3 linked regions of the Caenorhabditis elegans genome follow. The protein of the gene in region 2 interacts with the protein of the main gene of each other region in a pairwise test. Each region holds a gene or a part of one and is shown on either strand. Other genes may lie near its edges. The genes, in order: D1037.1, dyla-1 and tsct-1.

Evidence for each region.
Region 1: the proteins of dyla-1 (region 2) and D1037.1 interact in a two-hybrid assay, tested with the Caenorhabditis elegans proteins (one large-scale study listed by BioGRID).
Region 3: the proteins of dyla-1 (region 2) and tsct-1 interact in a two-hybrid assay, tested with the Caenorhabditis elegans proteins (one large-scale study listed by BioGRID).

Annotation. Positions count from the first base shown.
Region 1 is NC_003279.8:3,681,328-3,691,710, reverse strand, and holds D1037.1 (Protein SON), read right to left. Parts: upstream 6,931-10,383; 5' UTR 6,910-6,930; coding exon 6,823-6,909; intron 6,748-6,822; coding exon 6,464-6,747; intron 6,409-6,463; coding exon 5,998-6,408; intron 5,922-5,997; coding exon 5,635-5,921; intron 5,206-5,634; coding exon 5,057-5,205; intron 4,435-5,056; coding exon 4,198-4,434; intron 4,040-4,197; coding exon 3,949-4,039; intron 3,896-3,948; coding exon 3,684-3,895; intron 3,259-3,683; coding exon 3,136-3,258; intron 2,196-3,135; coding exon 1,967-2,195; intron 1,915-1,966; coding exon 1,664-1,914; 3' UTR 1,531-1,663; coding exon of another isoform or gene 1,414-1,530; 3' UTR 1,364-1,413; downstream 1-1,363. Other genes in the region: ipla-4 (phospholipase A2), read left to right, coding at 1-198, 243-486, 686-766, 821-894, 1,204-1,357, 1,414-1,530; rab-8 (Ras-related protein Rab-8A), read left to right, coding at 7,652-7,681, 7,729-7,883, 7,931-7,991, 8,051-8,440.
Region 2 is NC_003284.9:16,837,972-16,844,670, forward strand, and holds dyla-1 (DYnein Light chain, Axonemal p28 type), read left to right. Parts: upstream 1-3,066; 5' UTR 3,067-3,133; coding exon 3,134-3,232; intron 3,233-3,628; coding exon 3,629-3,759; intron 3,760-3,836; coding exon 3,837-3,906; intron 3,907-4,044; coding exon 4,045-4,144; intron 4,145-4,251; coding exon 4,252-4,377; intron 4,378-4,498; coding exon 4,499-4,593; intron 4,594-4,709; coding exon 4,710-4,832; intron 4,833-4,875; coding exon 4,876-4,947; 3' UTR 4,948-5,002; downstream 5,003-6,699. Other genes in the region: F41G4.8 (uncharacterized protein), read right to left, coding at 5,458-5,655, 5,706-5,783, 6,084-6,176, 6,253-6,530.
Region 3 is NC_003284.9:12,431,328-12,438,763, reverse strand, and holds the start of tsct-1 (Protein tsct-1), read right to left. Parts: upstream 4,668-7,436; 5' UTR 4,611-4,667; coding exon 4,593-4,610; intron 2,128-4,592; exon of another isoform or gene 2,061-2,127; intron 1,306-2,060; coding exon 1,122-1,305; intron 903-1,121; coding exon 734-902; intron 1-733.

The sequences.
Region 1 (10,383 bases), on a different chromosome or scaffold from region 2:
CACAACTTGGGAAGATTCGAAAATGTCGAGTATCAAAAGACACCGAGCAATTGTTACTGTAGCTGATACTCGAATGGTTCCACCTCAACTTCTCCTCTTCCGATCCTATCGTCCAGAAATGCCAGAGGAAGCGTGTGAACACTATAAGTTCCTGGATCCAACGAAGGTTGAGCTGTGGAAGACTCTGAGATGCACAACGTACGACTCTAGTTTTTTTTGAAATATAAAAAAAAAATTTTCAGCGCGGCTCCATACTTCTTCGAGTCATTCAATGGGCTTTCTGATGGTGGTTTGATTGCGAACAATCCGACGCTTGCACTGATCTCTGATTTCTTCCTCACGAATAAACTTGAAAAATCGTTTGCGAAAAGCTCATCTGAACGAGAAAACCGTGGAAACTGGAAGATTGGATGTGTCATTTCACTTGGAACAGGAGTATTTCCAACGGAAAAGATTGATGGAATCGATTTGATTGTGGCGCATGCGGTTAGTACGCCCTTTTACACGTCCTTTTACGAGAAATTTGCAAGAGCGCCGCACATTTTTTTTTCAGCTGGTTTTAAATTAAATTTAAAACATAATAGTTGACGAACTTTGGAAAAAAAATCTAAAATGTCAAAATAACAAAGTTGAAGAGTTAAAGACCGATACTTTTTTAATGGGAAATTGTATTACTTTTTTTCAGAAAAACCCGATCCAATTTGCCAAATCTTGCTATAAAGCATTTGCAAGCACTCGGAATTTGTTGCATGTTCTTGTGAAAGAGGTTTGAATTCAAATTTTGGATTTATAATGTATATTTCCTAATTATTAATTTCAGTGTACTGCTTCGAATGGTCAGCCAGTGAGATATGCAAGAGAATGGTGTCATTCGATCAACGCACCTTATTTTAGGTATTACCAAATTTTGCGATTTCTGAACAAAAAATGCAGTGCCAGGTCTCGAAACGAAAATTTTTGTTTAATGAAAAAAAAAAGGTGTGCGCCTTTAAAGAGTACTGTAATTTCATTTTGGAAATTTCATTGATTTTTTAAAGTTTTAAATAAAATAATGTTGGAAGGAAGGAAATCAATGAAATTTCCAAAATAAATTACAGTAATCTTAAAAGGTGCACACCGTTTTACATCTGAAAAATTTGTCGTGTCGAGACCCGGCACCGTTCTTCTGGTCTAAAAATCACAAAATGGATAATATAATTTAAGATTCTCGCCTCACTTGTCGCAAGGCATTTCTCTGGATGAAATTGATTTGGAAAAGGTGATGCAAGTGATGTGGGAGACTGAACAATACGTGGCTTCACATAGGCCTCAGTTTGTGAAGCTTGTCAATTACCTGGCAACCAAACCGAAGAGAGAGGTATTAAAAATAACTATTTTTACTATGTTCAATGATTTTTTAAAAATGAATTTTAGGGTTTTGAAAATCTTGAAACATCGCAGGATTCGGAAACATTGGAGAAATCGATTTCTGAAGCTTCTGAGACGACGACGACACGTACGACTACAACAACAACTACGGCGGGAATTTGAGATTCTTTGATTTGACAATAAATTTGAATGACTGGGGATACTTTAATTTTTAGAATTAATTGATTGTTATTAGACAATTGAAAAGACGAGAAAACACAACAATGATGATGAACTGATGAATTGAGATTATATTCTACATGTAAACTGGGAGATTCGGATCCATTGGAAGTACGCCTAGCGACTGAAGAGCCACCTGAGCAGCGACGGCTTTTCCTTCCTTCTTTTGCTTTGAGCCACACATTGGACGGTATTCTACATCATTGATGACTATAGTCCAGACGAACATCTTCAAGTGATCAGCACCGGATTCTTCACAACTGAATGACGGGGGATTCCAGCGACGTTTAGCGCAAAGTTCCATTATTAGGGAGATTGGATTTTTGTCTGAAAATATAAAAAAAATTTGAAAAGATTTTGAGTTTTGAAAAAAACCAACTCGATAAATCAACTGGAACATTATTCTGTGCATTTATCTTATTTCTCTGCTTGATGCTCATCTCCTCCTCAGCGATTAATCCTTTTCGATCACTCTTCACATCAAGCATCAGCGGCTCCAAATTTCCAGTCGCATCCTTTCCCAGACCCTCTCCAGGACGCCATCCCATCTTTTCCAGCATCAATCTTCCGATTCCGCCGGTCGCTGGTGCAGCATTTCTGAATTGGTCCTGAAAAGGAAAGATTATGAAATTTTTAAATTAATTTGGGAACTAATGGAGTTGCTATTCGAAAAAATAAAAATACAAGGAAAAAGTCGCTGCAGAACTGATTTCTGGTCCTTTCAAAAAAAAAAAAAGGAAAGAAATCAGTTTTACATGCGACTTACGACTTCTCTAGGAGACTGCAGCTGACGTTATGAATCGATTGATGGTTCCGAAGGTGTAGGAGGGATTGATGATGATGTAGATAGAAATCGACACATTCTGCTTTAGGTATATTACTCATACGCGAAATTTTACGATTTTTGCGTTAGGTCTCGCCACGACAAAATTTTGTTAATTTCGAAAAGGCATGCGCCTTTAAGGAGTACTGTAATTTCACTTTTTGGGGGTTTTTTTTTTGATTTTCAGCAGTTTTTCTACCGTTCATTTCTATGAAAACTGCGAAAACCAACGAAATTTCCAAAATTGAAATTACAGTAATCCACGACAAATTTTTGTTAGATGTACAAATGTGTGTGCCTTTAAAGAGTACTGTAGTTTCAAAATTTCGTTGCCGTGGAATTTTCTAGATTTTGCATAGTTTTTCGATTAAAAAATCGTAAAGAAAACAATAAAAATTCGATGAAAATTCCGCAGTTTAAAATTACAGTACTCCTTAAAGGCACATACCCATTTGAAATCAACAAAAATTTGTCGTAGCGAGACCAGGTACCGTATTTTTGGCCCAAAAATCGTGAAATTTCGCGTCTGGGCAATATTAGTTACGAGAATTCTGGATTCAATTTTCTATTTAGCTCTCAGAATTTTCGTAACCGAAATTCTTCAAAATTGTGAAAAAAGCGGCAATTTCAAAAACAAAAATTGCCACATTTTTCACAAAATGAAAATCGGCAGAATGTGCCGATTTTTGAGATAATTTAATACAATTTTCCGAGACCACACATACCTTTTTCACCCATGCGTGATATTTTGGATTTTGAGGCTGTAGCTCGTCTGCAGTCAGAAGCCTTAGGCCAGTTGTACCGGTGTACTCTCCAGGAAGACTTTTTAGCGCTGCCCAGAGACTGATCTTAAAATTTGGAATTTTTGAAAAACTTAATTTTTTTTTATTTTAAAGGTTTTTTGTTTAAAAACTGTTTAAATTTATTTTTCCAGACGCGAAAATGTGTGTTATTTTTGATCTAACTATAAGAATACGGTAACTGGTCTCGACACGACATTTTTTTATTCAATGCAAAGTACTGTAATTTCGGCCTTTTCTAGTTTTTCGAAATTTTTATAGATTTTTCATTGTTTTTCGATAAAAAATCGTGAGGAAAACTATCGAAAATCAATTTTTTCGATATCTGTAGCTACACAATTTTGAAGTTACAGTACTCTTTAAAGGCGCACACCATTTCTCAACAAACAAAAATTGTCGTAACGAGACTGGGACTCAGAAATCGCAACATTTCACGGCTGGATAATATTCTCCGACTATTTTTCCAGCTTTACCTGTTCGTTGGCTTCACGTAGTGCTCGATGAGCATCAAAATCATTGGGAGTCGACAAAACTTTTCGTTGTGCTTCTGTTCGTTGTTTCAGTACTTTTCCAATATCACTGGGAGCTGGTATCGGGATATCTTTTGGTTCTTTCAAAATCATTTGATCCTTATTCGGAACATAAAGAACAGAAGGTAGCGGAGGTGGCGTTGGAGGACGGAATGCTGAAAATTTAGATTTTTCAATTGTAAAAAAAAAACTAAAATCTTGAATTTACAATCAGTGGGATTCGGTAGAAACTGGGGAGGCGCCGGCGGTGGTGGCAAGATCGAGTTGAGGAATTTCGGCACGGGTGCTGGGGCGACAGGCTGAAAAATTGACTTTTTTCAGGGGAAAATTGCAAATTTTCGTTTTCCAAAATTTGAAAAAAAAATTTTTTTAATTTTTTATCACCAAAATCAACAAAATTCTGTAAAAATGTATAATTTTCCGAACTTTTTTTTCCTAAATATTTCGATTTTCTTACAATTCCCTGTGCTCTACACCGATCAATTTCAAGACTTGTGAGAGCCACATGCTTCTTCTGCTCAACGGAGCAACTTTTCGGAACATCCTCCTTTTCGACGGGCACCCATTCGGCATTTTCTTTGTGCACAGCACCAGAGGAGACAGGGAAAACAATACGAAGTTGGGCAGCTCCGAGTTGAGTTGGCTCTTCTGGGCCTGTGATCGCTTTTTGAGCTAGATTGGCGGATGTGGCAGTCTGAAAATATTTAATTTTTTTTTTTTTTGGAAAATTTTCGTTTAGAGGTGATTTCGTTCTCAAAATTCACGAAAAAAAAAAAATGAAAAATCCACCTTTAAAACTGTGCTTTTTCAATTTTTTAAAAGAAAAAATAGGGAATTCAACTAAAATTGAAAAATCTCGTTTTAAAAGTTGAATTTTTCATTGTTTCTTGTTTTTTTTCGTTTTTTTTTCTATGCTTTTTCTGAATTTGAGACTTTTTTGAAGATAAACATCTTAATTCACATGCTATTCCGGGGGGACTTTTTTTTGTTGGTATTTTGACGAAAAATTGATTTTTTGGTTTTTTTAGACCATAAATTGTTCACTGTTTCACAGTTTGTAAAAAATAAATTCAAGCATTTTTTTTGAGTTTTTGAAAATTTCAATTTTTTTTGTCTAAATTTTTTTTTGCTTCTATTATACTCAAAATGGCTCCAAAAAGCCGAATTTCATATGGAAACTTTTCAGAAATTTCAAAATTTCGACAAAATAATTTGGTATTTAAAAATAGGATATTTTTGTAGAAATTTTGAACCGTTCTCTGAAAAGTCTCCTAAATTTGGACCAGGGGTGTTGATCATTTTGTCCAGGAACATACAACAATATTAATGCGAATAGGTTCCTTTGGCATAGCATATGGATGCTTGTATCGAACTGTTTCTCTATCACTGTCATGATCACTGACATCGTGTCCAGCTTCTCGACGTTTCTCTCGTTCTTGTCGTCTTTGAAGCTTCTTGCAGTACGCTGGAAATTGATGTTTTTAGTGTTTCTCGCTCAATTATTCCGAGAATAAAAAATTATGAAAATGCGTATCGCGCAACATATTTGACGCGCAAAATATCAGCGAAAACTACAGTAATTCTTTAACTGACTACTGTAGCGATTGTGTCGATTTACGGCAACGACATTCGAAATGTATAAAAGTTTATTTTCGAATATTGACAATGATATTCCATTTTCCTCCGTTTCTTCGTATTATTCTGTTATTTTTTAAAACTGTTTTTCTTAATATTTTATCGATCATTAAATCACATCCGTAAATCGACACAAGCACTACAGTAGTCATTTAAAGAATTACTGTAGCTTTCGCTTCGAGATATTTTGCGCGTCAAATATGTTGTGAAATACGCATTGTCAGAATTTTTATTTTCCCGTAACACGAGTCATACTCACTAACAAAATCCTCAATCGATGCACTATCTCTGTCGCCATTCGACATCATTTCTGCTCTTTTCGTCTTGGCAATCGCCAATAGCTTCTCCTTATCAATGACTTCTCGACTTCGGGATCTTCGTCGTCGGTATGAATCATATTCTTTCCGTTCTCTGGAACGACTTCTCCATCTGGAAGGTCTCTCGGGTCTCTCGTTGCGAGTCTCTGTGGATCTTCTTGATCTTTCCGGAGATCGTCGGCGAGTACGGTGTGTGTCTCTCGAACGAGAACGACGACGGGATTCCTTGCTGAAAGAGATGAATTTCAAGAAAAATTATATATATTCTGTTTTGGTGTTTTTATTTTTTTGGTGGAGTGACTCACCTTGTTCTTCTTCCTCTCCTATCACTGCTTGAATGACTGCGCTTCCGTTTTCTTTCAGTTTTCTCCTTTTTTCGGTTCTTGTCTTTCTCCTTACTTTTTTCATTTTCAGAATTATCCAGATTTCCATTTTCACATATATTTTTATTCTCCAAATTCTTTTCGATTCCTTCTGGTTCTTTAAAATCTCCATCTCCATATGCAATTTCTTCTATTTCTCCATCCTCAACTTCTTTCTTATTCTCGGCTTTTGGCAGAACTGTAGTGATGCTAATAGCCAGCTTTGTCTCTTTTTTCACTAAAGGGGTGCTGAAATCCGCGCCAAGCGGTAGATCATCGGCCTCATCTTTCCTTGGCGGCTCCTTAAATTCTTTCGGTTTGCCATTTTCGGTACTTGGCGCTTGCGGGATTAATCTGTAGTAATTTTTATTAGTTTAAATACTTATTTCGAATTTATTTTCGAACTTACTCATTTTTTGGCGCTTTTTCGAGATTTTTCTTCTCAATTTTTTCTTCCCTATGCTTTAAACGGCTCCTGCTTCTGCTTTTCCTACTCTTTCTGCTTCTTCTCCTCTCCTGACTACGCCCCCGGCTTCTGCTCCGGCTCCGGCTTCGACTTCTTGAACTAGACCAAGTTTTGGATCTTCTTCGAACTTTCTTGCTTTTCTTCGACTTGTGCCTGTGATGCTTCTTCGGCCTTTTCCCAACAAAATCTGTCTGATCGCATCCGGCTAGTTTATCCACTGAGAATGGCTGAAAATAATGATAATTAATTATAATTATATAATTCGATTTGTAAATTTTCCAGTACAATTTAAATTAATTTACTTTTTCCGACGATTTCACATCATTTAAAAGATCTTTAATGATGTCTTCACTGCAAGTTTTCGGGGTAATTCCCTCGCCATCGACCATTCTTGGAACTTTTTGACCTGAAAAAAGGTGATTTTTTGTTTAAAAAAAAGTTTTTCAAATTGCAAAACAAGAGGATACAAACGACGCTCCGTTTTTACGTTTTTACATCGTCATGGCCGTGGCCGCTGCGCGTTTTGTTTTCCTGCTGCACCGATACCACCACCTCGCCCCCTCCCAATAGTTTATTTTTGAAAAAGGCCCGTGACCACGATGTCTTTGTGAGCTGTCTAATCGATTCATTCCCTCAGTGAAAACAAATCTTTTTATTGCGAAATTTCCTCCAAATTTTATTCCTCAACACTCATTTGTCGCTTTCTTTGCGGACATTGTGTGGGAATTACTAATTACATACGTCTTCACATGACCCTTCAATATTGACCAGCTATCCTCAAACCAACTGAGCACACACACACAGCGTGACATCTGTTCATTTCTTTTTTTTTTTCATTTTTTGCGGTCATGAAACTTGGAAAATTCAATTTAAAAGTCTCATTTACTTTTAACTTTCGATTAAAATTGAAAAGAAAATTTAAAAAACAGTAAAACAAAACAAATAAAATTACAGTTTTTAAACAATTTAAAAAAATGAAAGGCTTTTGTACTTTTCGCTCCGGGACCCATCAGTGTCAAAAACTCAATGCACCTTTAATCTCACTTTATTTTAATTGTTTTTCTTCGATTTCGCGTTACTTTTCTATAGTTTTCCTATTTTCAGAGCTTTTCTCTCACTCACTCCAATAAAATGGCAAAAACTTACGACTACTTGTTTAAGGTGAGAACTTTTGCATGCCAAGATGTCAAGAAAACATCGTTTTACAGCTCTTGCTTATTGGAGACAGTGGAGTCGGCAAGACGTGCGTACTGTTCCGGTTCTCAGATGATTCGTTCAATAACTCGTTCATTTCAACAATTGGAATCGACTTCAAAATCCGTACGATTGAGCTCGATGGGAAGAAAATCAAACTTCAAATTTGGTGAGCTAGTTTTTATTAAATCCGATTTTATAAATATTTTTTTTCAGGGACACAGCCGGGCAGGAGAGATTCAGAACTATCACAACGGCTTATTACCGCGGTGCTATGGCATGTTTTATCAAAATTTATTTCACAAAATTTCAAATTTTAATTAATTTATCTTTCAGGGAATCATTCTGGTGTACGATATCACCAACGAGCGATCATTTGAAAACATCAAAAACTGGATTCGCAATATAGAAGAGCATGCGGCTTCGGATGTCGAGAGGATGATCATCGGCAACAAATGTGATATTGAAGAACGCCGTGAAGTGTCGCGGGACCGTGGAGAGCAGCTCGCAATCGAGTACGGCACGAAATTCCTGGAAACGTCGGCGAAGGCCAATCTGAATATTGATGAAGCTTTCTTCACACTGGCTCGTGATATCAAGAGCAAGATGGAGCAGAACGAGATGCGTGCCGGTGGATCAGTTTCGAATACGGGTCGTGTGAACGTCGGTGGATCGGGGACACAGAAGAAGAGCTTCTTCAGCAACTGGAGCTGCAATTTGCTTTAAATTTATTGCTCTCTCGCCATGTTCTGCCCTTTTCGAAGTTGATTGTGATTCAATTCAATTCAACTTCAATAGTGTACCATATCTCTTTTCATATTTTCTTTCCGTTTGAATTTTCTGTTCCAAAAACTCCTCCTTCGCACATTTTTGTATGCAGTACGGTTATAATTCTAAAAATAACCTTTTTTCTTCTCTCTTCTCTTCTGACCATAATAACCAACACTTGCTTTGTTTTTACCATTTTCGTCCCGTCTATTTCTCTGTGTCCGCTCTCTCTCGCATATTCAATTCACCCCCCTACACCCAGCATTCTGATGAGATTTCTTTTCAGGATTTCAGATTTATTTTTTTCGCGAATGTATGAACCAAATTGCATGTTTTCCCAAGTTTTTTGAATTTTCTGAATTTTGATCGAATATTGGGGTTTTGTCGGTCATGCAAATTAAAATTAATTTTTTCTAGAAGTTTTTTACTGAGCTTCTATTTTGCAGAGTCAGATTCATATACCAGCGACATTGAATAGTAGAAAGTACCACAATTTTGAATAGTTAAACACGAAAAACGTTGCAAGTATTACGGAGACGCTAAGTTCTGAGAATGCGTATTGCACAGCATATCTGGCGCGCAAAATATCTCGTAGCGAAAACTACAGTAATTATTTAAATGCCTTCTGAAGTGTCGATTTACGGGCTGGTCTTTCGATACGATTTTTTTTTAAATTGTGACAACAATATTCGATTTTCCTCCAATTTTTCGTTTAAAAAAACTAAAGAAAATTGAATATCGTTGTCACAATTCGAACAAAAATTTGTTTCGAAAATAGAGCCCGTAAATCGACCTACAGTAGTCATTTAAAGAATTACTGTAGTTTTCGCTACGAGATATTTTGCGCGTCAAATATGTTGCGCAATACGCATTCTCAGAATTAAGATATCTGATGTAATTAAAGAAAAAATCTGTCAAGGTTTGAGTTATCATAAATGTCTGCTTGATTAGTTGATCAATGGAAAAACGAAGACAAAAAGAGTAAAAGACATTCGTCAAACGGCGACGACAGAGAGCACGTACCGCCTGATAAGCGACTCACGTAGCCTATCTTATCAGCATCTCAACTGTGCACGCACACACACAAAAACCCCCGGCTCCATTTGGTGACGACTCACGTGATATGATGGCAGAATGATGATCAACTTTCCTACTTCATTGCTATCGATTCACCGATGATGATAAAAAAGGGTCAGGGACAAACAGAAATCACGGGATACGACCTAGATTGTACACATAACAGAAAGATTCCGATTTCTACTCATTCCTTTTCAATAATCATGACCGAATTCACGTCACTTTTTAACATTCGTTTTTCTTCTTCTTTTCTTCAAAATATATTTCATTTTTAAAAATGAATTCTGTTCGAATGCTCGCTAAGAATGCAATTAGACCACTCATCAAAACTCGGAGTTATACTGGATTCTCTCAGTCGTATGTTATTTGCTTGAATTTTAGATTCTTGTAACTCCTGAACACTAAAAACACTTTATTATTACTTTAAAAAATTCTGAGAATGCGTATTGCACAACGTATTTGACGCGCAAAATATCTCGAAGCGAAAACTACAGTAATTCTTTGAATGACTACTGTAGGTCGATTTATGGGCTCAATTTTCGGAATGTATTAAAATAATTTATTTATCGAAATGACAAAAATCGAAAAATTGAATATCGATGGCACAGAAATTCATTACAAAAATCGTTTTCGCTACGAGATATTTTGCGCGTCAAATATGTTGCACAATACGCATTTCGAAAGCGAGTGGTTCCCCTAATAAAGGAACTTTTAAGTTGAAGCATAATACTATTACGGGAAGACAAGTTTCTGAAAATGCGTATTGCGCAACATATTTGACGTACAAAATATCTCGAAGCGAAATCCACACTAATTTTTAAATG
Region 2 (6,699 bases):
CGATGACATCGTAGATGAAGTTGGGTTCAGTGGTAGATTTTACACGTCTGGCATGTCTTCCAAGCGTTTTGAGCCACGCATGGGATTTCCTATACACGGCTGGCATGTCTTCCAAGCGTTTTGAGCCACGCTTGGGATTTCCTATACACGGCTGGCATGTCTTCCAAGCGTTTTGAGCCACGCTTAGGGTTTCCTGAATCGACTCCACGCGTCTGGCGCGTCTTCCAAGCGGTAATTGCACGCTTAGGCTCCTGACCTCTTCCTCCGACTGGCTTGCCGCTTCCTCAGGTCCCGCCGTGTCACGAGCTGGCTTTTTGGTTCGTTCATCGGATCCAATCCGACTCGGTTCGGTGCACCATGTTGACACTCCAATCCGAGAGATAGCCAGAACCTCGGAGTGACAAAAAAGACGACGGACGGAACGAGAGGAGGGATGAGCGGTGTGAATATAACAGAACAATTAGTACGAATAAAAACCTGTTTATTGATCAGGAAAAACGTAGAGAATGTGCTGCAGGGCAGCCAGGAGTCGAATAATAATTAATTAGAAGGAGTACGGCATCACACGATGGGAGAATCGGAGGAGAGTGACGATAATTGCATCATCAAATTTAGGCCAATAATTAATGTGAGCAATGGCTAAAGAGAGCGCGCTACGACACTCCGTTGTTGTCCGTGGAGCGCGCCTGCATTGCTTGGCGGCAAATTCAAATAATAATTGTTTATTAAATGATTATTAGAGCGAATGTTCTTGGAAGAATACGGAAGATATTGTGAGTATTCGGCGGCGGATGTTAATTGTGGGATCGTGGGTGATTCTGACCAATTAATTAACTATACATCCGCAAAGTTGGGATGCGCCGACTCTCCGGAGCCCAAGTCACAACATTCCACTTTTATGATAATTACATAACGAACTTTTCTGTTTTTTTTTTCAATGTATTGCTGATACTGTTAGCAACTTTTCAATTGATTATTCATTCCTTCAAAATTTCAGATTTTAAACTTTAGAAATTTTGGCAAAATTTACATTTCAACAACTTAATCAGTTTCGGAAGAAGCAACAACATTTTGTTTAAAAAAAGGGACCGAATTTGAATCGAATGATTTTTCCAAACATTTTCTGTAAAATTCGAAAGTTAGAGGAAATGTTTGGTAAGTTTGCCAACTGTTCAAACAGTTCTAGAAACTTTTGAAAATTTGATAAACTTTTGAGAAGTGTTTGAATATTCAGGAAAGATTAAACAATTCTGAAAACGCAATAAATTCCTGATATGTTCAGGACAATATAGAAAAGCTCTATAAACTCATAGAAAGCTTGCGTTGTTTGGAATTCGATAATTGCAAAATTTGGCAAATAGATAAACCTAGAAAAAAAGATACATTTTCATTTTTTTTAATTTATCGTAATTTTTCTCGATTGTCTCAATGCTAACAAAACAGGTCAATAACAAAATAAATCTCGCAAAACAAAAATTTTGGTAATTTAAAATTGCCATAATTGCTAAATACTATGAGTACTACACCCCGTCTAGGTAAAAAGTAGCAAGTAATACTATGATTATCATTTTGAGAACTGTTTGTACTTTACATGGATTTCTCAAATTTCTGTAGTAATTTCGATCGACCAAACTTTTAAACTTAAATAAAAACTCATCTTCGTTCTTTCGTAAAACCCGTGACAGTCAGTAGATCCTTCATTTTAAGGAGGTTCTGTTATTTATTTGCTCTCTAGTTAGTTCTAATAAACAAAAATTTCAAAGTTCCAATGAATGAATAACTGGCAAAGAAGCTAGTTCCGCCTTTCCGCCAGTGATCTGGTTGAAGGCAAATTGCTCAGCTCCGAATTCGAATGCAGTCATGTGTGACCACAAGAATCCAGCAGCGATTTATAGGAAGAGGGCAACAGTCAATTTACGAAGTGGGATTGGAGTCTGAGTGCAGTGTAGAGTCGGGTCAAAAAGACAAGCTAGCTGTTCATTACAATCATAGCAAGAAAGAGTTGTTTAGCGAAACAAAAAGTCCACGGGTGTCAGTGGTTTGACATATGAAGACAGAAAAAAGATGATAATGATTGAGCGCATTTCTCACTCTCGCAACATTTTCAAGGTTCCCAGGCTGCAAACGTTGCATTGGAATGACTTTTGCATGTCGCAGACTGCATTCACTTTCGATTCATTTGCCCCCAATTGCTTTATTCCAGAATTCTTGTTTAGCATTCTAACATGCTCTAATAAACAATTATACTCACGTTTGGAGCAGTCGGCGGCTCGGAGATGGCGACGGTGTATTTGATTCACGCATCGATGGGTCCGGAGTTGGAGTGTCCATACCTAAACTTGTAATGAGTGTATTACAGTTGTTATTATAACCAAGCAAACAAGTTTGAGACTATGGAAAACCAACTGATTACAGTAAGACCAAATCATAACGTACAACCAAAAAGTACAACGTACAAAAAAAAAAAAAAAAAAAAAAAAGATACAACCCAAATTCCAGGAAAAGTATTCAAGGTCACTTTTTGATACAAAATTAAAATTTTTGAATAAATTTATAATAAATTCAGTTCCAGAATATATTGAGTTTGAATTTTTCACTACTTTCATGAGCCGTTAAGTTGCCTCAAAATTTTAAGGTTAAACTTTTTGGAAAATTTAAGGTTAAACTTTTTGTTAAATCATTGGAAATGTTTTTTCGACTCGGAATTTCATCCCAACATGCCATAGAAACAAGAAATCTGAAACTCAACAAAAAATGTTGAACGAGCTGCGCACTTTTTAGACAATAATTTTTGAATTTTTCTCTCAACTTGTTCAGTGTAAGGATATTTGTAAAAAAAAACCTGGAAGACAACTTTTTTCTTGGTAGTATGCTTAGCTAATTAACTCACTGATAAGATCAACTACACCAGTCCAATTTTCAATCCACATGGTTCAACGCGTTTTAGGAATAAATCATGAATGCAACTGATGCGAACATCCTGTTGAAAGACGAAGGAAAGGCAGAGCTCAAACGTCGTTGAATTTCATACGAAAATAGTTCGACTTCACAAAAGCATTTATTTCAAAATTTGGTAAACTCTATAAAATATAAAGCGTTTTAACTTCAAACGTTTTTATTACTCTGACGGAAAATGGCATTGGAAAAACCAAAATTTGAAAGTTCGCTGACTTCAACAATTCTCGGCTCAACTGAGACTCCTTCTAATATTTTTTTACAAGTTAATCTTGCAGTAAGTCTATTTTATCTTTAGTAATGTTGTCCAAAAATGTATAGAAGTCCAAATTTTAATTAATTTCTAATAAAGTTAAAAGTGGAGTACCAAAATCTGAGACTTTGTGTTTTTAGACCCAAAATGGTCCAAAACAAAGTTCTGGAAAAAAAGCCCAAATTTGTTGCTTTTTTCACACATTTTGGTTTTGAATCTAATTGTTCAACTACTGTGCGAAATCAATACACAAAGACTGTTTTTTTTTAATTGTTTTTCTTTTAAATTTTGCTACACTACTTTCTCACAGCTAAAATCATATGCGGTTGAGGTTAATTTCAGATTTATTCACATGCTTATGATTTTCACTTCAAACATGTCACATCAAGAAAAATTAAAAATTGACAAACTGATTTTCAGGAGGAAACAACTTCAAAAATAGAAGGAGAAACCAATGTCACGTTTGAAAGTATCATTGAAAGCGGCGAAGACGATCACATTGAAAGTGAACACCAGCTACAGCTTATTCTTGATTGTATACTTCCGCCGAGGTGGGTAATTTGATAAATTGGCAGCTTAAGCCAGAAAACAAAAACAGAATTATGATCATGAAAGACACATTTTGTAGAGTTTACGAACAAAACGGAAAACTATGGAAACAGCAAGCGTCGCTTCATCCTGCTACGCGACATGACATGGTAATTTGGTGTGAATTTGAAAAATATTTAGATATTTGTGAAACTAGAAGGTAACTTGTTAATAGTTAAAACCAAATGCTTAAACCTCTTTTTTAAATATAAACACGAATGTTAGAAGTACGTTCAAAAAAATTTCAGATAAATCTCGAGGAAAAACTGGAAAGCGAGTTAAAAGACCGGGGAGCAAAACCATTCGGAATATGCCCAATTCGACGCGATCTTTACGGCCAGTTTTTCGGTCAGTGTTCCTTTTTTCAATTCATCCAAGACCCATTTGTCTTCTTTCAAGCGCATAATGATGCCCTTTGACAAAAAGACAGGTGTGTGAATCTTCTTTGCTTCCAGATGAGCTAATCCGTCAAGTCAGTGTCTCCTGTGTGGAAAGAGGTCTTTTATTGGTTCGCGTTCGTGATGAAATTCGAATGACTTTTGCAGCCTACCAGAATGTACTAGAGTCGGCGATTGCATATGGTAAGTTACAATTAATAGTTTTCAATTTCAGAATATTAAAAAAAAAACTTTGTGTGGATTCTGACTACTTCTTAGCGCCTAAAAAAATACAATAACCACACCGAATTGATTCAATTTTCAGGTGTCAGAAAAGCGCTGTTCATTGAAAACGAACAAACACGGGCGACGACTGAATGGAAAGTGCAAAAGGACAAGAACAAGGAGCTTCATCTAAAGGTGAAAAGAAAACTATTACTACAGATGAATAGAAACCCATCGGGGAAAAACGGAGGGGGGGGGGGGAGAAAATGGAAATTAGCGGAGGAAGAAGCAATGTATGTCGGATGTTGCAGATTGCCCAATTGGAGAAAAAATTGGCAACGGATAAAATTGTAAGCGAGGAGGAATTGGAAATTGTGGAGCAACGAATGAAGGACACCAACGAGCGCCTTGTAGAGTCAAATAGAATTCTCAAAGTTAGGCTTGAAAAATAATTATTTCAAAAGTCAAAGTTTTCAGAACCAGCTTCAGTCGATTCTTCAGATGGATGATATGTCACATGTCAAAGTCGGAGAAACAGTCGCACATTAAACATATTCAAATGTATTATATTTTTGTTTCAACACTATACATTCTAATAAAACATACTCAATATTTCTATGTATCACAAAATTGTAATCTTGGAGAAAATCCTTACATTAGAAACATTTTCAAACAATACAAACTTTTTTTTTGCGCAGGGCCTGTTGCCTGTATTCAACCTGCCCGCCTCACGCCTCTTTGACCGCGCCCGACCCTTTCCGGGTTTTGCGCCGCACTAAACAAAAAGCGTGGCTCGCGGCGCGAGACAGGCGCGGCAGGCGTTTTGGCGTCTGCATGGAAGCCCGTTAGCGTTTTTTTTTTAATTTCAGATCATGTTAACAATCAGAGAAGTGAAGTTCAGCATCAAAGTATTTCAGTATTTAATTTTGTTATTTGTAATTTGTTAAATTGAGGAAAACCACAATTATTCAAAATACACCAGAATACTACAGGAAGTGATTTATTTTCAAAAATATATGAATAAAAATTGAGAATAACAATTTCAAAAAGCTTTTTGTTTTATCGTGAGTTAAAATAGTAGTTGATTTTCTCCTGGACTTCATCTGAAAATGGGAAAGATCCACAAAGAAAACTGTTATCTTCGTAGGTCGATTTTCTTGAATACTCTTGTTCATTCCAAAAACTGTTTTTAAATTGGATTTTCATGCTATTGAACCATACTCGGTCAAGAGTTGGTAGGAGATATTGGTAGACCATCTGAAAATATGAGTTTTGATTGTGTAGAGATTTTCAAATGCAGAGCATACCATTTCATGAATTCTGTGATTCATTGGAGCCGTACTGGTAAGACCAAAATGAATAGCTCGTGCGAAGTACTTCCTTGTCTGTAAAATTAGTGTTTTCTTTCAACGAAAAAAAAAGGTTTTCGGTATTTGAAAATATCAAGTTTAAAATATAATATTAAATGAAAAATACTATTATATTTGTGTTTGGCTAAAATGTTTAACTTTTCTGACTAAAATGAGCACAAAGGACTGATTGTCGAGAGCAGATACGATGTGTGCTTTATCATTCCATAGCAACTCAACTGTGGAAATCCTAGAAGTACCCGAAACTTGTACCCAGTTCAAAACACATCGCAACAGAACACATGAAGGTGTCATATGCCTGTTCCCGTGACTTACAAACTCTGATTTGTCATAAATTCTTTGCAACAATGTGAAAGCCAGGCAGTCGAGGTTGTCTCGTGTCAAATTGTAAACACTTGGCCAGATGTTCTGAAAGTTAGGATTAATGTATTGCTTTTTTTTGCTCCGTCTTTTTGATTCTTTTGTGTCTAACAAAAAAACTCACGTCCTGATCACAACCAAAAGGTCGAAATGCAAAGTACACAACTGTCATGAACTTTTCCGTCGAGTTTTGCAGAGTTTCTTGACTTAGCCCATCCGTGCTCAGAACCTGTGTAGTGAAAACCTGTCTTGCATAGTCTGGGACCGAAGCGTCTAGAGTTAGAATCTCGTCTTCGTCGACATGTTCCTTTGCATTTGCAGTGAGTTGGTAAGCTTTCTGTGTAAGGTAGTGAGGAATTCCAACATTTTCAATAAGTCTTTGGAGCCAATATTCATCGATCACTAGAAAATAAAATGTGCAAGTTTTTTTTTAGTTGCAAATGAAACTTGAACCTTTACTTGATCTATTTGAAAAAATTCAACTGAAATATACCTACTTGACACTAACAAAATGGCGCAAGTTTTTTGGGCAAAAACACATGGTCGAACATTTGCAAACGGTTTCTAACTG
Region 3 (7,436 bases), 4.4 Mb from region 2:
AGATGAAACTGAGTGAAAAAAACTGCTACTTTTCTTTTCATCTCCTCATCGCTCTTCGTTCCAACCCAAACAACTGGCATGTTCGTTTCAGTTGTTTTCTCTTTTTTCTACTCTCAGAATATATATCAGGAAGGAAATGTGTGGTCCCTTCCCGCTTTTAGCAGAAACAAAAATAAAAAACACAAACAAAGTACTTAAGCCGAAAAAATGACGTGCTGGAGTCATTTTCAAATTAAAAATTACGCTTACTTACATGAACATAACTGCAAAGGTAATCGGAAGAAATCGATATGACAGGAGGATAATACGGAGCGATTTGAAGAATGGGTAATTGCGTTTTTGACGTGTTTTTAAGGTCAATGTGTCTGATAGGGTATTTGAGAAGTAATGTGTTTACGACAAGGTGAAAAAGTAATAAAACCCCTTCAGTTTATTTCACTTCAAAGAAAAGAGAATTTCACTTTAAAAATCAGTGTTGCGAAAATAATAAAAATTCTAAATGCCTTTTAGTTACGCAAAAAAAGAAACGAAAGCAAAGAGTTCGTCTGAAACTCGATATTTTTTGGGTATTATTTTTTACTTGAAAGCCGCCCGCTTTTCAACGCCTTGCCAATTCTCCAGAGACTTTTCTAGCCACCTTTCAAAGTCTACTGACGCGCGCGCGCATTATCTCACGTGATTGCTTTGGATATTAAGATTTTAAATCTGGGTTTATTTATGTGAGATCACTCACCGCGGCTGACTTTTTTGTAGCACACGAATGCTGTCCGCCTCTTCTGCTCCGAGAATTGGAGCAGAGGTGACTGTTGTCGGCCGAGGGAATTTCTTTCGGACGGTGATCACATTGTTTTTGCTTGTTACGATCATCTTGTACTCGTCTTCTGGAGGATAATTTCCAAATTCTGAAAAAAATAAATTGTGTTTATTGTCCAGTTTATTTTTTTTTAATCAATAATTTTGAAAAAAGATTTTCACTGGTACTTCAACAACCTCAAACATTTTTTTAAAAACACGTACTAAAACACGTACTTCTATGCTCGGAATTTTGAACTGGTATCTAATAAATTTATTGATTTTCTTCTAAATTGATAAATTATTCGTTTTCAAGTAGTTAAACTAACCTCCCATTGCCGACCCAAATCTGGTATCAATCACTTTCCATCTGCCACGTGTAAACTCTCCTGGAACCGGAACAACTTGGAATTTCTTCTTCGGCTTGTCACAGTTTGCATTTGGAGGAACGACCTCAATCACAGATGCTTCATTGGAAGTAGTACTCATTATTATTGTGTTCTGTTGGAAAGCCTGAAAAGTTGAAAAAATAAGTAATAAATAGACAATAAAACATTTTAGCATTTTAGAAGTAGTGTATAAAACAAGAAAATCTGTACTTTCACAAACAAGAATTAAAATATACATTTGTTCTACTAAAGATAAATTGAAACTTTTAGATTTTTGGTAAAATTATGATGACTTATAACAGATTCAAATACTTTTTTTCAATTAACAGTAAGATTAACGGTTTTTAGTCGTTTGGACACATAGTTAATCAAGAAAAATTTGCATATATTTGAAAAGCGTATAATTACATCTTTGTACACATCGTTTAACTAATGCCATTAGAACCTATGAAATTAAAAAAAGTTGATGACTAATTAGCAAAATTTGATAACATTTTTGCGCCGTGGACAAGACAGATATGAACAAAAGTTACAACGATTTGACCAAAATAGATTTGAATTAATGTATTTTGGGAAACAAAACGTACGACATTTTTATATTAAAAAAAACATCTTTCGCCTTTAATTTGGTTAGGTGAGCAAATTAAAAATTGTTTTGAAGAAAAATGGCAAAGATAAGTTTCAAAAAATATGCTGGATTTTTTATCGCATTAAAAATCACAATCGTTGACTGATTACACTCAAGAACCCTTATTCGAAATTTCTGTTTCAAATTTGAACAAAAAACGAAAAGATAAATTGGTCGCAACATGCAGCAAATGATTGATGAACTGCTGTGGGAGACATGAATTGACACGTAATTTCAATTTTCTCGAAAAAGTGCTCGCGGTGCTGAGGAACAGCTGTACTTGCTCAAGTGTGATGGCAAGTGTGTCAAGTAAATAGACACGACGGCGCAACTTTTGGCACGGAAACTTTGGAGTTTTTTTTCTGTTTTTTTGTGTTACTTTGTCATCTGAGTAAACCCATGAGACTTTGTTTTTTTTTCAGGAAAGAAAGGAACGCTTAGTTTCTCTCTCTCTCTAAATGGTGCAGACAGTTATTGAATCATATTTTTTTAATAGTTTGAGAACGCTGTAATTGGAAAAGGAATTTATGAAAGTTTGAAGTACATCAAGGACAACTAACAACAGTTCAAGAAAGCCCAATAACTTTATGAAAGCACAGTGCAAAATCTGCAAGAACTTTTGTGACGACATATTTTCTTAACTTAAAAAAGCATTTATTTTTCAAGTTTTCCGCTTTGTGAAAAATTGTTGAAAACTGTTTTTTTTAATTTCAATGGCAGTGCTTTTTCTACTAGTTTGGAAGGAAAAAAAGAGAAAGCCAATTTTCGTAACTAGAAAAATGAAAAACTTGGTAGCTTTTCATACCTTTTTTCAAATTCTTAGAGCTTAAAACTCAAGTCTTACAAATAATCCTACATAAACCTTTGCCAAAAAAGCTAACGTTCAATGAATATGCAACAAGAAGTCAGCTTTTTGCAAGAAGAAAAAAAAATAGATGAGCTAAGAAAAACGCGTATTTTCTCTAACAAAGCCACCTAGACATGGCGCAATAACGTCTATTTCAGATACAAATAATACGAGATTATGACTGTGACATTCCAGTGAATTGTAAGATTTCTGAGATTATATTTGAAGTCATTGTCAAAAAGAAAAATATATAATTCTTCTGAATTATTATTTCAGAGAGAAAGATTTTGAGGGAGTTTTAAACAAGACACTGCGATTTCTCGTTTTCAGTCACTAGAAATGTCACAGTTTATAAGAGCAAAATAGAAAACGAATGAAAAATTGAATGCTGTACATTTCTCTTGCTCTATACTGGCTGCTACCCCACTTTTTCAATCACACTGTACGCTTCTCTGTGTGCCCAGACAAAACCATTGAAAACTACTGCTCTGCATAGCCCGCAAAGCAGGAAAGCTATTTTTCAATCGCAAATAAAACGAAAAAAGCGCATGGGAGCGCGAGATAGAATGCAATCTTTTTTTGAAACTTCGATTCTGTAGTAATTATGCAAGTTGTGGTTGCAACAATGGTGCTCACAAAAGAGTTGCGAAGAGTAAATATGAAAAGGGCACATGAATAGCGATCAAATCAAATGACGAACTGATAAAAAAGATAATATGTAGTTGTCATGTGTACTCTTGAGCGAACGTGCAAAAGAAAATTGGACACATAACATTCTGAACTGGAGTTTGAAGGCGGAGAAGATCCAAAAAGGAAATTGTTTTTGAACAAATTAGCTTTGAAGCTTTCTCTATTATTCTTGCATGCAAGACTAATTTTCAATTGGTCCGTAGGGATGTAAGACTAGGCCTGTGGAGTGGGTCGCCCCATTTTTTGGGTCGGTCGGGTCGGGGTAGGAGTCGGAAATTCTAATATCATGAGAGTGGTTTTGTATCATTTGGCTCTATATGCTCTCCTCATTTTTCAAACAGAAGTTCAATTTAAATGTTACGCTTGGAAAAGAGCAGCACACCACACTTTTGGCTCATTGTTGATTGGTGTTTTTCATCGCGTAAAAACTGGAAATTTAATTGAATACTTTTGGCACTCGTATTCGGAGGGTCTCATTGACCTTTAACTTTGTTTTCTGCAAAAGTCTCACAATGTAGGTGTTTCAAATTACGTTGCATTTGATTTTTTAACGACATGAAAAAATTTCAAGATTATACTTGAAATTTATGTGTTCAAAAATGTTACTAGAATAAATTATTTTCAATTTTTGAAAGAAAATGTTCCACATTCTTTATACATATCTTTGTACATATGGCAACTAAACGTTTGCGAAATTCCTAACATTGAACAAGACAAATTATTTTCAAATTAAATTGATATGCTGTTGAAGGAAAAATACGTAAAAATAAGAAATTCTAATTTTAGTTATTGTTTATTCTTATATTTTATGAACGCAAAAAGCACTTGATTAAACAACAGAAATCAAAAAGTTAAAAAGAAAAGTTGCTGTTCAGACTGACGGGGGTACGGATAATTCATGCAAATCGGTGTCATTCTAAAAATCGATATGTGGAATTGAATCAGAAAGGAAATCGTCGAAAAAATTACAGTTGACTCACGATTTCTGTATTTTAGAGTTTGTTTCGCGGCAGTCACGCGTTTTACATTGGCGACGGTGAAGAAGCAAAACGAAAGGACAACAAAATTGCGTAGAGTTTCTCTTTCTCAACCAACCATCAAAAACGTTTAGATTTGGAAAACGTGCTGGAGATAAACAAAACACATACATAAACACGAGGTCATTGACAACGAAGAGCCGGTTGTTTGATCAGGCAGATCATAAGGAGACAAGGTCATGTGGTTTATCTTAAAAATGAACACTTACTGCGGCAAAGATGAACATTCTCAGTGACAGGATCCCTTGCTGCGGTCTCTTTTAGCTGTAACTACCCTGAAACTTTAAGTTATTTGTATCTTGTAAAACCAACGTTATTGACAATAGAGAGCAAAAAAAGTTGTGAAGATATAAACGCAAACCATAAGAAGGAGTAACGGTTCTGCTTTTTATTTGAGTAAAAAATTTTAAAAATTGAGGTTCCGCAGGAATCTTAAATTTAGGCCACTTGTCCGCGGAGCGACTGGAAAAAATATTATTATTTAATCACAACCTCATTTTGAAATTTTGTGTCGTTTATGAAAAATTCGCTAGTTTAATCTCAATTTCTACAACAGGGTAAAGTTGATAAAATTTTAGAATTTTGCTATATTGAGTATTTTTTTGTTAAACTTTTCAACCGTTAAAAAGAAAAAGAAAAAACACTTTTGTGAAATTTTCAAGAAGTTTCATCCTGAGAACAAATTTGCAAAGTTGAATGCAAAATTTGATTTTTTTTATCACTTTTAAACTTGCGTTGAACTTACGTGAAACTATCTTATATTAATGATTGATTGGTAAATTCACAAAAATTATGCCCCATGTTACAGATCTTGTGAAAATTAATTAATGTGTGAACACATATTTTTAAAGTTCAAGAAGTTTTTTAATTGAAATTGTGAACAAAACCACGTGATGCATTTGCGGACGCACAGAGAAATTTGATATTCACTAGGAACATTAAGTATGTTTATTTTTTCGTTTTTTTGTATGTTTTAAATATTCGCAACAAAAATTTCAATTGTTTTAATTATAACATTTATGATATTTGCAAAGTATTTCATCTGATTAAGAGTAAAAATAATTTCTGTTATTTTCAAATATCATAAATAAGAAAATAAATGAGAATGGCAAGATGAAATATGAGGAAAAACGGGTTTGTTGTAACATAAATAATGCTCATCGCACATGTGCAAATACATAAAATACGTAAACGATGAGATAAAAAAATTGAATTTCTCGAACGTCTCTATGTGTATCTAATCCGATAAACACTAGTTTTAGGGAGTTATGAGGATGTTTTTCGTCTTGTTTTCTATTTTATTTTTAAAGATTTTATTTTTAATTATAATTTTAAAGAATGTCAAAGTGTAGAAAAACCCAATCAACAAATGAGCAGAAAAATTAAATGAGCACTCAATGTCCTTTTTTGGAAGAGAGCAGATGGTAGTTAAAAGCTAAAAAGACGCGGAACCCTTTTTTTCAAATGTGTTCCTCTGTGACGGCTGGCTTTTATGGGTTGAATGAAAGAATGATGGTGTTAGGGTACCACCCGACACAAAACAAAACAGAGCTGTTCTGCAAGATCAAAATGACGTTTTTTCAAAAATATATGCCAATTTTCTTAAAACTAAAAAAGAACAAAACTGATACAAGAATTGAAATTCCCAATGGGGTAAAATTCGAATGGGATGAGAAGAGGAAATGGGCGGAGGAAGGGGGCAAAAACGTTAATGAAATTTTGTTTCAAAGTTTTGTTTGCCCAAGGCTATTTTCTACTTTTTACATTACTTCAAAAATTGTAATTTCAAAACAAAAGTGGACTGGAAAAAATTAAAAAATAAAAATATTCCAATGGCTGCGCTGCAAACAAACAATTGGATGCTTCCAGATTTTCCAAATTTGCTGAAAACAGAATCGACAGGTATTTTGGGCAAATCTTCCTGCACAAATTGGGAATTTAACCTTGGAGCTCAGAGAAAAATGATCTACATGCAAATGTATCTATATATATTATATATATATATATATATATCTAGAGAATTTATCAAAGTATTAATTTGGCAATGTTGAAAATAGGTAGAGAAAAATCACAATCCCAACTATTTTTTTTCGAATATGGGTGTAATTGTTCTTGGTATATATTGAATAACGTTTTACACTTTACAAGTACTATCTCTTACATAAAAAATAAAGGGGAAAATGATTAAGCTACATCAAAAGTTCGAGAAAAAGTAACTAGTGTAACAAGTACGGGCTGTGCAACAAATTATTCGAAAAAAACTGCATTCAACTAAACATATTCGATATTTATACATCACTTTAACAACTTCCTGTCTGTCCTCCAGATTATCTTACTTTGAAGAAAAAAGAGCAGCAGTCTACTAAAACAAAGCGAATGTTAAATAATTGAAAACTGTGTCACACTTCACTCAATGATTCGTGTTCCTTGTATGACACTTTTTATGGGGTAAAGTTTTTGTGATGAACACAGCATGACAAATAACAGATGTATGTACCATGTAGCCAATCCTATAGAAAGCAGACAGAAGGCCAAATGGAAACTAGGGTGACTAGAGAAGGTGTTATAACTTTATGCGAAACAATGAATCAGAATTCAGTGACGAGTGCAAACCAACTGATTTAATATTCTATTTTTGGGTTGATTGTGACAATAAACACGGAAAAATTGGAGAGAAATTTTAAAAATAGTAAGCATCATTTTCCGACTCAGAATGCAACATTTCTAGTGGGTGACAATCGCATGGTCACAGTACACATCACAGAAAAATTTAAATCTAAATTATTGAAAAACAAACATCTAATACAAGAATTATAGTGCAGCTCAAAAAGTTCTTCGAAAAACAAAACTCACTAGAAAAGTGAAACCTTTCAAAGCAATGACTGAAGAACACATTTCGGCCCTTTTTGTCTCGCTCTCCCGTCCACAATTTTTTTCTGCAAAAGTTTGGTTTCCGCTGTCGGATTCTCTAAATCCTAAGCATATATAAAGCTGTTCTGGCTGACGAGATTGAAAAAAATGAACAGCGCTGTTGGGAAAACAAAGAACAAAAG